Linked DNA regions of Ovis aries. The protein of the gene in region 1 interacts with the protein of each later gene in a pairwise test. Links are inferred from orthologs where the notes say so. Each region holds a gene or a part of one and is shown in the gene's direction. Other genes may lie near its edges.

The links. The genes of interacting proteins can lie anywhere in the genome.
Region 2: the proteins of RAPGEF4 (region 1) and SWAP70 interact in a two-hybrid assay, tested with the Homo sapiens proteins (2 studies listed by BioGRID and IntAct). The link is inferred for Ovis aries from reciprocal best matches to the Homo sapiens genes RAPGEF4 and SWAP70.
Region 3: the proteins of RAPGEF4 (region 1) and BMERB1 interact in binary tests that used the Homo sapiens proteins (3 or more experiments, as listed by UniProt). The link is inferred for Ovis aries from reciprocal best matches to the Homo sapiens genes RAPGEF4 and BMERB1.

What each region holds. Positions count from the first base shown.
Region 1 is NC_056055.1:136,921,034-136,924,742, reverse strand, and holds part of RAPGEF4 (rap guanine nucleotide exchange factor 4), read left to right. Parts: intron 1-205; coding exon 206-266; intron 267-2,604; coding exon 2,605-2,681; intron 2,682-3,098; coding exon 3,099-3,245; intron 3,246-3,709.
Region 2 is NC_056068.1:42,644,880-42,648,588, reverse strand, and holds part of SWAP70 (switch-associated protein 70), read left to right. Parts: coding exon 1-63; intron 64-1,967; coding exon 1,968-2,114; intron 2,115-3,225; coding exon 3,226-3,334; intron 3,335-3,709.
Region 3 is NC_056077.1:14,515,457-14,518,944, forward strand, and holds part of BMERB1 (bMERB domain-containing protein 1), read left to right. Parts: intron 1-864; coding exon 865-979; intron 980-2,295; coding exon 2,296-2,378; intron 2,379-3,488.

The sequences.
Region 1 (3,709 bases):
ATCACTTTACTGAAATATTGTAAATCAACTATACTTCAGTTAAAAAACCAAAACCTAGTGGCCCATGTAGTGGAAGTTCTAGGTGAGAGGAGCAGCCAGGCCGAGTGGGAGGCGGCTGGGTGGGAGTTTGCGCTGAAAGAGAGCAAGTCCCTTCCCACACCCCGAAATCCGGCTCTTCCCTGCACTCTTTCTCTTTTTCTTCTAGGTGAAACGGGAGTTGGCAGCGGTTCTCATTTTTGAGTCTCATGCCAAAGGAGGGACTGTGTGTAAGTGAAGGCTGTAATGGTGTGCGGTGCCTGGCGTGCCCCCTCCTGAGCGTGTGCCCCTGGAGCCTGACTATAAATGCTCCCCTTTCTTAGGCCTGAGACAGACTTGCCAGGATGTCACATGGCGCGTTTGCTTTTCTGGACCCGTGATTATTCCCAGCATGGCTGTGGCTGGTGGGTGTCAGGTACCAGCACGGGAGCACTTACCAGCCAGCATCTCCACTTGCTCCCTCCCCTGCTGGCTCAAGGTCGTGTTTAAAGCGGGTGGGATGAAGTCACACTGTCTTCAGAGCAGAGTGCAAGCAAAACCTTCACACAGTGACCTCACTTCAGTTTTGTGGCTTGGGAAGACCTAATCTGTCTCTTGAGAGGCTACTTAGAATAGCATACTCTCCTGCTTGCTTCTCACGCGTCCACTATCAACTCCAAGCCTGAGAGAATTTCTTTGCCCAGATATTTATGTAGTACTACTATGTAGTGGAGAAGGAAATGGCAACCCACTCCAGTACTCTTGCCTAGAAAATTCCATGGACTGAGAAGCCTGGTAGACCACAGTCCACGGGGTCGCAAAGAGTCGGACAGAACTGAGCAGCTTCACTTCCCTTTCACTATGTAGTATCTCTCCAGTAAGTATGCCGTAGTTTAGTTCTGTGATCATATTTTGGAGCAAGAAATTGAAAGTGAAGGCGTTAAGTCGTTCCGTTGTGTCTGACTCTTTCAGACATGGACTGTAGCCCTCCAGGCTCCTCTGTCCATGGGATTCTCCAGGCAAGAATACTGGAGTGGGTTGCCATGCCCTCCTCCAGGGGATCTTCCTGACCCTGGGAGGGAACCCAGGTCTCCCACATGGCAGGTGGATTCTTTACTGTGTGAGCCCACTGGGGAAGTCAGAAGGCCTCTTAAGAAATTGAAATTTCATATTAATAAATGTGAGCGGAATTATTTTGACTAGCATTTCCCACTCCTCCCTACAAAACCATTCTTGGAAAACATGGTGAGTGGGGTATTCAAGACACGAAACGCCTCCTCTAATTTCTCTTGGAGAATTGTAAGACACACCAGCATGCTCTGTTTCTTGGGAGTTCTACAATAAGGAAAAATTTCACACCACTTAAACTGATACTACCTTAACCTAATGAAACATAGAAAACACTTTTAATGGATACCTGTTAACTTTTCAAGAGACCATCTTTGGAAAATCTTGCTCTTTCTTCAGATTGAGTTGTGTTAGTCAAACAAACAGAGACCATGAACTATAAAAGCAAAGAGAGTTAACATCGATGTTTCAAATATTTACTTTTAGTCCTCAAAAGTGTACATCTAATATCGATAGTTACTTTAATAAGAATGTTTTTTCTTTATGTTTTAAATATTCACATTAACATTTAAAAAATGTTTATATTACTGGTGACTTACAACTTCTTTTGTGCTTTTCCTTCAATCTTTCTGATCATTTTATTATGAAATATTTAAGTATTTCAGATGAATCACTGGAGAGTGTTACAAAACCTTTTTTAAAAACACTTTTATCAAGTATTAACCTGACACTCTATTTTTTCATATTTTCATTTTTTATATTTTCTAAAAAATGAAATCCTACATTTGAAGAGTCTCTGTTTCCTTTATTATCTCATTCTTCTCTTTTCCTCTCCAAGGTAACTCCTACCCTATATCATGTGGTAATCATTCCAACCCATTTAAAAAATATATATATGTAGATATGTATCCATCAACAGTATGTAGTGCTGATTTGCATGTTTTCAGACTTCACACTGGGCTTCTTGGTGGCTCAGTGGTAAAGAATCTGCCTGCTGATACAGGAGACGTGGGTTTGACACCTGGGTCAGGAAGATCCCCTGGAGAAGGAAATGGCAGCCCACTCTAGTATTCTTGCCTGGAAAATTCCATGGATAGAGGAGCCTGGCGGGCTACAGTCCATGGGGTCAGAAAAGAATTGAATACAACTGAGCGACTAAATGATAACAAACTTCATGTTATTGGTCAGATTAGTTTTAAAAACTATGTTCTATAGCTTAGTAAGTTTTGATGAATTGTGGAGGGAAGTGGATTGCTTTAAGGAATGGATTGCTGGAGAATTAATAGTAAACGTATATCTGTAGGACATAGCAAGGAGTACAGTGTTCCTGTTTATTTCATGTTCTGAAGAAAAGGAAGTAATATTCCGCCTGAATAAGTTAGTATTTGCTAGCTTTTTTTTCCCCCCTTCTGGAATTAAATGCATAATTCTGAGGCCTTTAAAATGATGATTTGATAAGCTGTAATTTATATTGATGTGCTTCTATTCTTGTCATGAGTCTTTTTTTCTTTTTGTATCTAGTATTTAACCAAGGGGAAGAAGGCACCTCCTGGTACATTATCCTAAAAGGATCAGTGAATGTAGTCATTTATGGCAAGGTATATATTTTTTTCTTTTGAAACCTTATCATGCTGCATTTACTACTGGCTCTAAGTATTAACAGTGTAATACTATAGTTAAACTTGCTACACCATTGTTACTCAATGTAGAAAAGACATTATGGCCTCTCGAATCATATATTGTCTAAGTTTTTATACTCAGAGTAACACTGAACTTTCTGGGACTCATGGATTATAAAGTAGATATGTAAGTTAGGTCCTAGCACATATTACTCAATGAAAGGAAAATGAAACACTATAATGTAATTCTGTGATCCCCTCCCCCGTGACATCTCTGGGTACAGCCTGTGGATATATATTCAGTATTTTCGGGGCAGGGGGGCTTGTGGTGTGAGGTGGATGGGTGTGTGTCCTGTTCCAGGGATCACCTTCATCTGCATGATTTGTTCTCTCCAGGGTGTGGTCTGTACCCTGCATGAGGGCGATGACTTTGGCAAGTTAGCCCTAGTGAATGATGCCCCGAGAGCTGCCTCCATCGTCTTGAGAGAAGATAACTGCCATTTCTTAAGAGTAGACAAGGAGGATTTCAACCGGATCCTGAGGGTGAGTCTGAGGTGCAGTGTGGCTGAGGGGCTCCCTGTTTCCACTTTGGCCTGATAAGTGAAGGGTTGATGTAGTGTTATTCGAGCAGCGCAGTGACTAATGAATGCTCTAGGGCCAAAGAGCCTTGCTTACAGACCTGGTATGTTCAGTGTGCTGGTGTGGGTTCTGGGGTTCAGAGGTGATATTCTAGTAAAGCTGTAAATATGTCACACTGTTCCGGACCAAATAACCCTGCACACACCTGAACCAGTTCATGAGCATTAAAACACAGAGATGCCTTGGCAAAATATCACAGTCTGAGTCATTTCTCTTTGCTATCCTAGGCTTCCCCTTTTGTGTCTGTCCTCTCCTCCTTCTCCATGTTTCTCTATCCTAAACCTCCTATCTCTTCCCAGATCTGAACCTTATATCCTCTCCCACCCTCTGAATTTATTTAGTAACTACATTTTAGCGGCAATTAATGT
Region 2 (3,709 bases), on another chromosome or scaffold:
CAGACTGTGTCCATGGCAATTAACGAGGTCTTCAATGAGCTAATATTAGATGTGCTGAAACAGGTAAGCATCCTGTAACACTGTTTCTCCTCACCTTTAGAATTTGACGTTCCGAATAAAACATTTTTATCCCAAAGATGAGCCTAAGTCACTTATATTTTTATGCTAATTTAGAACAGGAATAAAATTTCTTATTTTCTCAGTCTTGTGTTAGGCGTACATTGTAAATAATTACAGTTAAACACTGGGAAGTTACTGTTTTGAAAGCGCTGTTTAAATGATCACGTTTCTGAACATGGTACTTTCATGTCATGTGTACATCTATACTCACTCATCTGAAAGGTGCCCTGGCACACTCTTCAGTGAAGAAAACGGGTTGTGGACCAGCAGGTGTCTTGTAATCCCTTTCATGCAGTGTGATATGTGTGTGTGGAGCTGTCTGGAGGGATGGGGCCAAAATGTTAGAAGTGATCACTGCTGGGTTGTGAGATTTCTATGAATTTTACTTTATTCTTTTTCTTTTCTTATTATTGGGCTTACTACTATAATGTTTATGTATGTTAACCTCTCTATAGGCTATGTATAATTTTTATGAAATCAGAAAAATATGCTTCCTTTTGGGGAAAAGTGCCCTTATGTAATAAAGTTGTGTTTATCGTATTAGGTTATAAAGTTTGTATTCTCAGTACCTGCATAGCATCTGATAATATTTATGGTATACATATGCTGACATACATAGTCTGTTTAATAAACTTAATGCTTAGTAAATAGAATTTATATATTTTGAATGGGTCTTTCAGATGTCTTACTTTATTATATTGAATAATAACTCTTACTGGTTGGTCCTTGTTTTGCTCTCTTAGGTAATGATGTTGTTTTTCTCTTTTCTTCAGATGTAGCCTATCAATAAACTTTAATTGAGGCTTAATTTGTGTAGGTTTTTGGTGCTGTAAGAGGTTAGGAAACATGGTCTCTGAAGAGGATTTCCAGGCCCATTAGGATGGCAGAATATAGAACTGCAGATGAACGGCAGTATGAGATAGCCTTGGTTTAAATGTCAAGAGCTAGCAAACTGAACGAGTAATGTGATTAGAACTTAATATAATGATCACATGATACAGCCAAAATATTATTATATATTTGATGATGTGTATAGTCTGCCACACGCTATCAGCACCTGTAGATTTACTGTGTAAATCTTGAACAATCCTAAAGTGTTTTGGCCTGTAGTAATGTGTAGTCTTGCTGAAATAAAATTTTGGATCACACATCTTTGAGGCTGACATATGGGAAGAAAATACAAGTCTAGTAAGTGTGAGCTAAAAGCTATACTTAGAAGCCAGGATCCTGACTACTGGTCCAGTTCATCTTCTGCTCCTTTGGAATCCTGAGAGGTCAGGTAGAGAGGTACACTGGTACCAGAGAGTGATTGTCTGAGAAGGCATGCTTGGCCAGGTTTGCTGACACCTTTTAGCATTTTCAATAATGGGTGTAGATTTACTGAGCGGAGAAGGCACTGACGACCCACTCCAGTACTCTTGCCTGGAAACTCCCACGGACAGAGGAGCCTGGTGGGCTGCAGTCCATGGGGTCAGTAAGAGTTGGGCATGACTGAGCGACCTCACTTTCACTTTTCACTTTCATGCATTGGAGAAGGAAATGGCAACCCACTCCAGTGTTCTTGCCTAGAGAATCCCAGGGACGGGGGAGCCTGGTGGGCTGCCGTCTATGGGGTCGCACAGAGTCGGACACGACTGATGTGACTTAGCAGCAGCAGCAGATTTACTGAGAATCACAGTTAGGGTGTGTGTGTTAAAAGGAAGAGGTGTGTGTGGGGGGCCGGGGAAGAGGGGTGTGTGTGTGTGTGTGTGTGTGTGTGTGTGTGTGTGTGTGTGTGTTAAAAGGAAGAGATACCAGCTCTTATAAGGAAAAGCACCAGCATTTATATCAGATTTAATCTTACCTAGGGTTACATGATAAAGAAAGGCCATAGACGGAAAAACTGGACTGAACGCTGGTTTGTATTAAAACCCAACATAATTTCTTATTATGTGAGCGAGGATCTGAAAGATAAGAAAGGAGACATTCTCTTGGATGAGAACTGCTGTGTGGAGGTAAGAGTCAGTGGTTACTTCTTTCCAGTGCTGCCGCCTGCTGTTCAAGTAGTTTATCTTCCTTCTAGACTCTAGAGCTTTAAAAATAATCTTAAAATTCACATTTCTAAAATAATATACACATACAGTAACCATAGTTTCTGAACCAAAAAATTACAGATACCTGACAAAAAATTTTTTTCTAATGTGAATTTATTTTCTGTCTTGTATTTGAGAATAATGTATAGGGATTAAATCTCATTTATTTGTATATTTAAGGAATCATTTCTTGAGTAAAATGGAGTCATAAATAAGAAAACAAAGCCAAAAAAAATCAGTAAGACAGTGTTTGAAATCATGAGTGTGTCTGAGAACCTGGGCCATTTTGGAGTGTAATAAATAAACCAAAAGAACATGTCTTTGAATAATTGGTATGACTTTTCAGAACACTTTATCACTGCTAATTCTGTAAATAGGTGAAATCCTCAAGAACATAATGTTTTGAATTTTTATTTTGTGTCTGAATTATTATCATATCTGTATTTGTTGAAGAACATTTAAAATACCTAAGATCTCATTCATAAATGATAATGTGTCTTGATGGATGAAGTGGTATGTGTTAATATTACGGGTATGCAGTGCCCAGTAAGGGGTCTTCTTAGATTCAGTTAAACATGGAGACTCACAGGATTATGATAGACTGTGCCAGTCTACTTATAAGGATTTAGGACAAGAACCACAGCTTGCTAGCAACAACACCCTGGTGCAAGGAAGGGAGAGACGCATCTGCAGGGTGTGGGAATCACCCTGGGTGTCTATACCTATTGGAACAGTTCCATGGGCATATTTTCCAGGATTCCTGTGAGAGATGTGTTCAGGTATAAGGTGCAATGTACAAGGTTTGCTGTGCTCAGGAAAGGCCATATCATGGCCCATCAAGTGATGTTGGTTCTCCCAGTCTAGATGTCGTATGCTAATCTGGGGTGATTTTTACAACAAGTATTGTTGCCTAGAGGGCAGCATAAATAAATCAGTAACATTCATTTATAGGTACTTCTTGTATAAGTAATTAAGTTTGAATTTAAGTACTTGAAAGTAAAATTTGAAAGACTAATTTTGCTTTCTGTCTTAGCCCTTGCCTGACAAAGATGGAAAGAAATGCCTTTTTCTCATAAAATGTTTCGAGAAGACCTTTGAGATCAGTGCTTCAGATAAGAAGAAGAAACAAGAATGGATTCAGGGTAAGATAATTTTTATTACTTGTCATGATATAACTTGAGAGCACTTTCTGTTTTTCATTGAGAGTCCCTTAGATGGCAGGGAGATCAAACCAGTCAATCCTAAAGGAAATCAACCCTGAATATTCATTGGAAGGACTGGTGCTGAAGCTGAAGCTCCAATATTTTTGTGACTGATGCAAACAGCCAACTCATCGGAAAAGACCTTGATGCTGGGAAAGATTGAGGACAGGAGGAGAAGGGGGCAACAGAGGATGAGATGGTTGGATGGCATCACTGGCTCAATAGACATGAGTTTGAGCAAACTCTGGAATATAGTGAAGGACAGGGATACCTGGCATACTGCAGTGCCTGGGATCTCAGAGTTGGACACAACTG
Region 3 (3,488 bases), on another chromosome or scaffold:
CAGAGGACAGGGGAGTATTGGAAGGCTGCTGCTGGTAACTTGGAAAGGACAGTGACATCACTCCTTGAGTCGAAGGGCACTGTGGTTCATCCACCTGCAGAGGGCAAGGAGGCTCTATGGTGCTGACGAGTGAGTTGCAGAATCAGACTTCGGGACCCACTACCATCATCAGCACAGTGATGAGCAGGAATACAGGGGCTGCTAGATCCCAATTCCTTGCTCCCCTCTGATTAGTGAAAGAAACTGATTTTCTCTCTAACCTAAATATTATATTCTCCTTGTCTCTGGTTCTGCCTCCAGATCTAGAGGAAATAGTCAGTGACACTTTGAACTGGCAGAGGGACAAGCTGCCCCCTGAGTTTTATCTTCTGAGGGGGTCTGAGCAGAGGGAGCCAGTGCAGGGTTAAGTTTCTGCCCTCCTGGTCGTCTCAGTCTTCATGTCCAGCCCTCGTTGTTTTGTCTCTGCTATGATGCTCTAGCCCTTGGTATTTGTAACAGGTTGGGAAAGCGAGGGGTGCTTTTCCTCTGACGGGTTGGGTAAGCCTCACTACAGAGAAGTCACCTCCTGCATCCTGCCTGTGCCCTTCTCCCCTTGTCCTTCTTCAGAACCCCCTTGCAGCATCAATATCATTTAGCAAGCATCCACCACAGGCCAGCTCTGTGCCAAGTTGTTTACTAAGATCCCTACATTCTTGCATTCAAGCCTACTGTGTATTTTACAGAGGAGGAAACAGAAGCTTGAACTAATCCAGTTGCCTTCCCAGGTTCATCCAGCAAGTTAAATGGTCAAGGCAGGATTCCAACCCTGGCACTTCGGACTCATTTACACTCAAACTGTCTCTGCTAATGTGTTCTTCTTCCCAGAAAAAGAAAAAACTAAGTTGCAGAAGCAGAGAGAAGATGAGCTCATCCAGAAGATCCATAAACTGGTGCAGAAGAGAGACTTCCTGGTGGACGACGCCGAGGTTGAGCGGTTAAGGTAAGTGGGCAGTGTGTCCCCTGGGCAGGGCTGGGCTGTTAGAATGCAGCTCAGCTTCCTTCCAAAGCCCGTCATCTGCTCCCAGACTCACAGCTTTGCAACGGGTGTGTCCTGGCCCAATGCTTCCCAAACACTAGATCCAGATGAATCCTTCTGGCCCAAGCCCCCACGGCCTATTCAAGAGAAATTTAAATCCAGCTTCAAAAAGTTTTGCAAAGGCCTGTGGATCTTAAGTGAATGTCATCTGAGAAGGTGACCAGGGAGGAATTATATCACAGAGCACACGGAAGAGCTTCCTACACCTTCTTTTTACTGAACTTTCTCCCAACTCGTCAAGGCACCTTTTCCAGAAACTTCAATTCGTTTCTACAGAAACTCTGCCCTCTGTCCTAACTTGCTTCTTCATCCACCCTCCCCACTTCCCAGCTCTGTTCTCTCCCTTCCTGTCTCCTGGGGGCCTCTGATGCCCCTCCCTAGCCTTCGGGGTCTCCTGTTTGCAGATGCCCCTGCCCTGTTGATCTGGTCAGCCATGGGCCCTGGAGCCACAGTGCTCCTGAAGTCTCTGCAGAGGACCAGAGGGCACGAAAGATGCCAGTGTTGATTCTTGAATTTTTTTGTGCTGGAGCAAAATCTTGAGAGTCATCCACAGGGCAGAGGCTCAACGGGTCTCTTGCAAACCAGAAGACAACTTCCCTTTAATTCTCTGTGACCTTCCGAGTCCTCCAAGGTTGCTAGGATGCACTTTGCCCAGCTCAGCCAGGCTCGGACCATTGGCTTTGTTTCTGGTGACCCTTGGGAGAGCTGAGGTGGCTTGCCTTTGAGACCTGCTGCATTCTTTGTCTAAGGTAACTTAAAGGTGCAGGATCAGGAGAGGGATTGCCCAGCTCACTAAATCTCTGGTAGGGAGGCTGGGTCCTCTAACACCCCTGCCTCTGCCCTAGGGTCTCACACCAGCGGGCGTGGGCATTTACTCCATCACTGATATGTGTTTCTGCTTCAGAATAGATTCATCAAACAACACACACCCACCCACCCACTGTACACACATAACAACATGTGCCCACCACCCCCACACAAAACATAACACACATATACCACCCACATGTAACTCACATGTGCCATCCGCACATAACATGTGCACCAGTCACACACAGTACACATCAGCATATATGTACCACCCACATATAACACAGCAATATACACGCACCATCCATAAAGTCTGATACGTGATCCCACACTCTTGCCTCATTTTATTAGTTCCTTGATGCTCTCCTGGCTTACTGTTCTTTCCTGTCTTTACACATCTGTCTCCACAGGGAGCAAGAAGAAGATAAGGAAATGGCCGATTTTCTGAGAATCAAGTTAAAACCTCTAGACAAAGTAACCAAATCTTCAGCCAGTGAGTGCCTACACTATTCCTTCTCCTCCCACATCCGAGAGAAAAGGAAATTTAAATGAGGTCTGGAAGCCAAGGGGACGCAACATAAATGCTTTCTAGAGATCAAACTTGAGCACAGGATGGCAGCAGGCAGGGGCAGCTTCACGGGAGAGGAAGCCCAAGGACCCACACCTAGAAGGGCACTGTGCTTGCTTTCATGTCCTACTATTGCTGTCTTGGAAGTCAAATTTTCCAACAAGAGGCCCTGCCTTTTCATTTTGCACTGAGTCCTGCAAACTGTGTGGCTAGTGCTGGCAGCTAGTCCTTGCTCATATGATTTGGTACAGTTCATAGAGTTGGCCACTGAGGCAAGAAGGTGGGAACTAAGGCTCGGGAAGCTCTGGCCTCTGTTGGAGTTGGAGGAACAAAGGCAGAAGTTTGCTTCTCAGAATACCAGCCTCACAAGATACTCAAAGCAAAAAGGGTTCTGGGTGAAGTAAGTTTGGGAAATGCTGTGCACTTGACCACTCTTTGTAGGCTTCCAATACCCATTAGCATATTAAAGTGATAAGTCCTGCTGGATAGGAACTGCCTTCTTGTTGGCCAAGTGAGACCACTTTGAGTTATAAGAAATGGGTGTCCAATTCAAACTGGCCCTAGCAGTAAAAGGTGATTTGCTGGAAAAAGAGCAGTGGGAGCCAGGGCTCCAGGGACTGGACACCCTCGCTTTCTTTCTGGTTATCCACTTGGCACCTCTTGTCATGCTAGCTTCATTTCCTCCTCCTACACAGGCCTTCCTGGGGCTAGAAATCCAGGACCATAACTTAGCAGAAGCAAGGCAACAACTGGTATTTAAATGTGTAAGATTCTGACCAGCCTTTCTTGGATCACGTTCCCACCTGCTAGGCCCATCGAAGGGGCTGGGAAATTGTGATTTTCTGGATCCCGGTCACTTGCCCGCCCCTGTAGCCATAAGGGCATGAGCTGTTATCAGAGGAAGAGCGACGGACAGTCTTGTTAGGAAGACAAAACCCCACCCAAAGCTGCCACTACCAGCTGAAGCCACAAACCAGTTTTTCCCTAACTATCCATTGATAATATTCCATGAAAACACATTTGTACTGTGTGAAG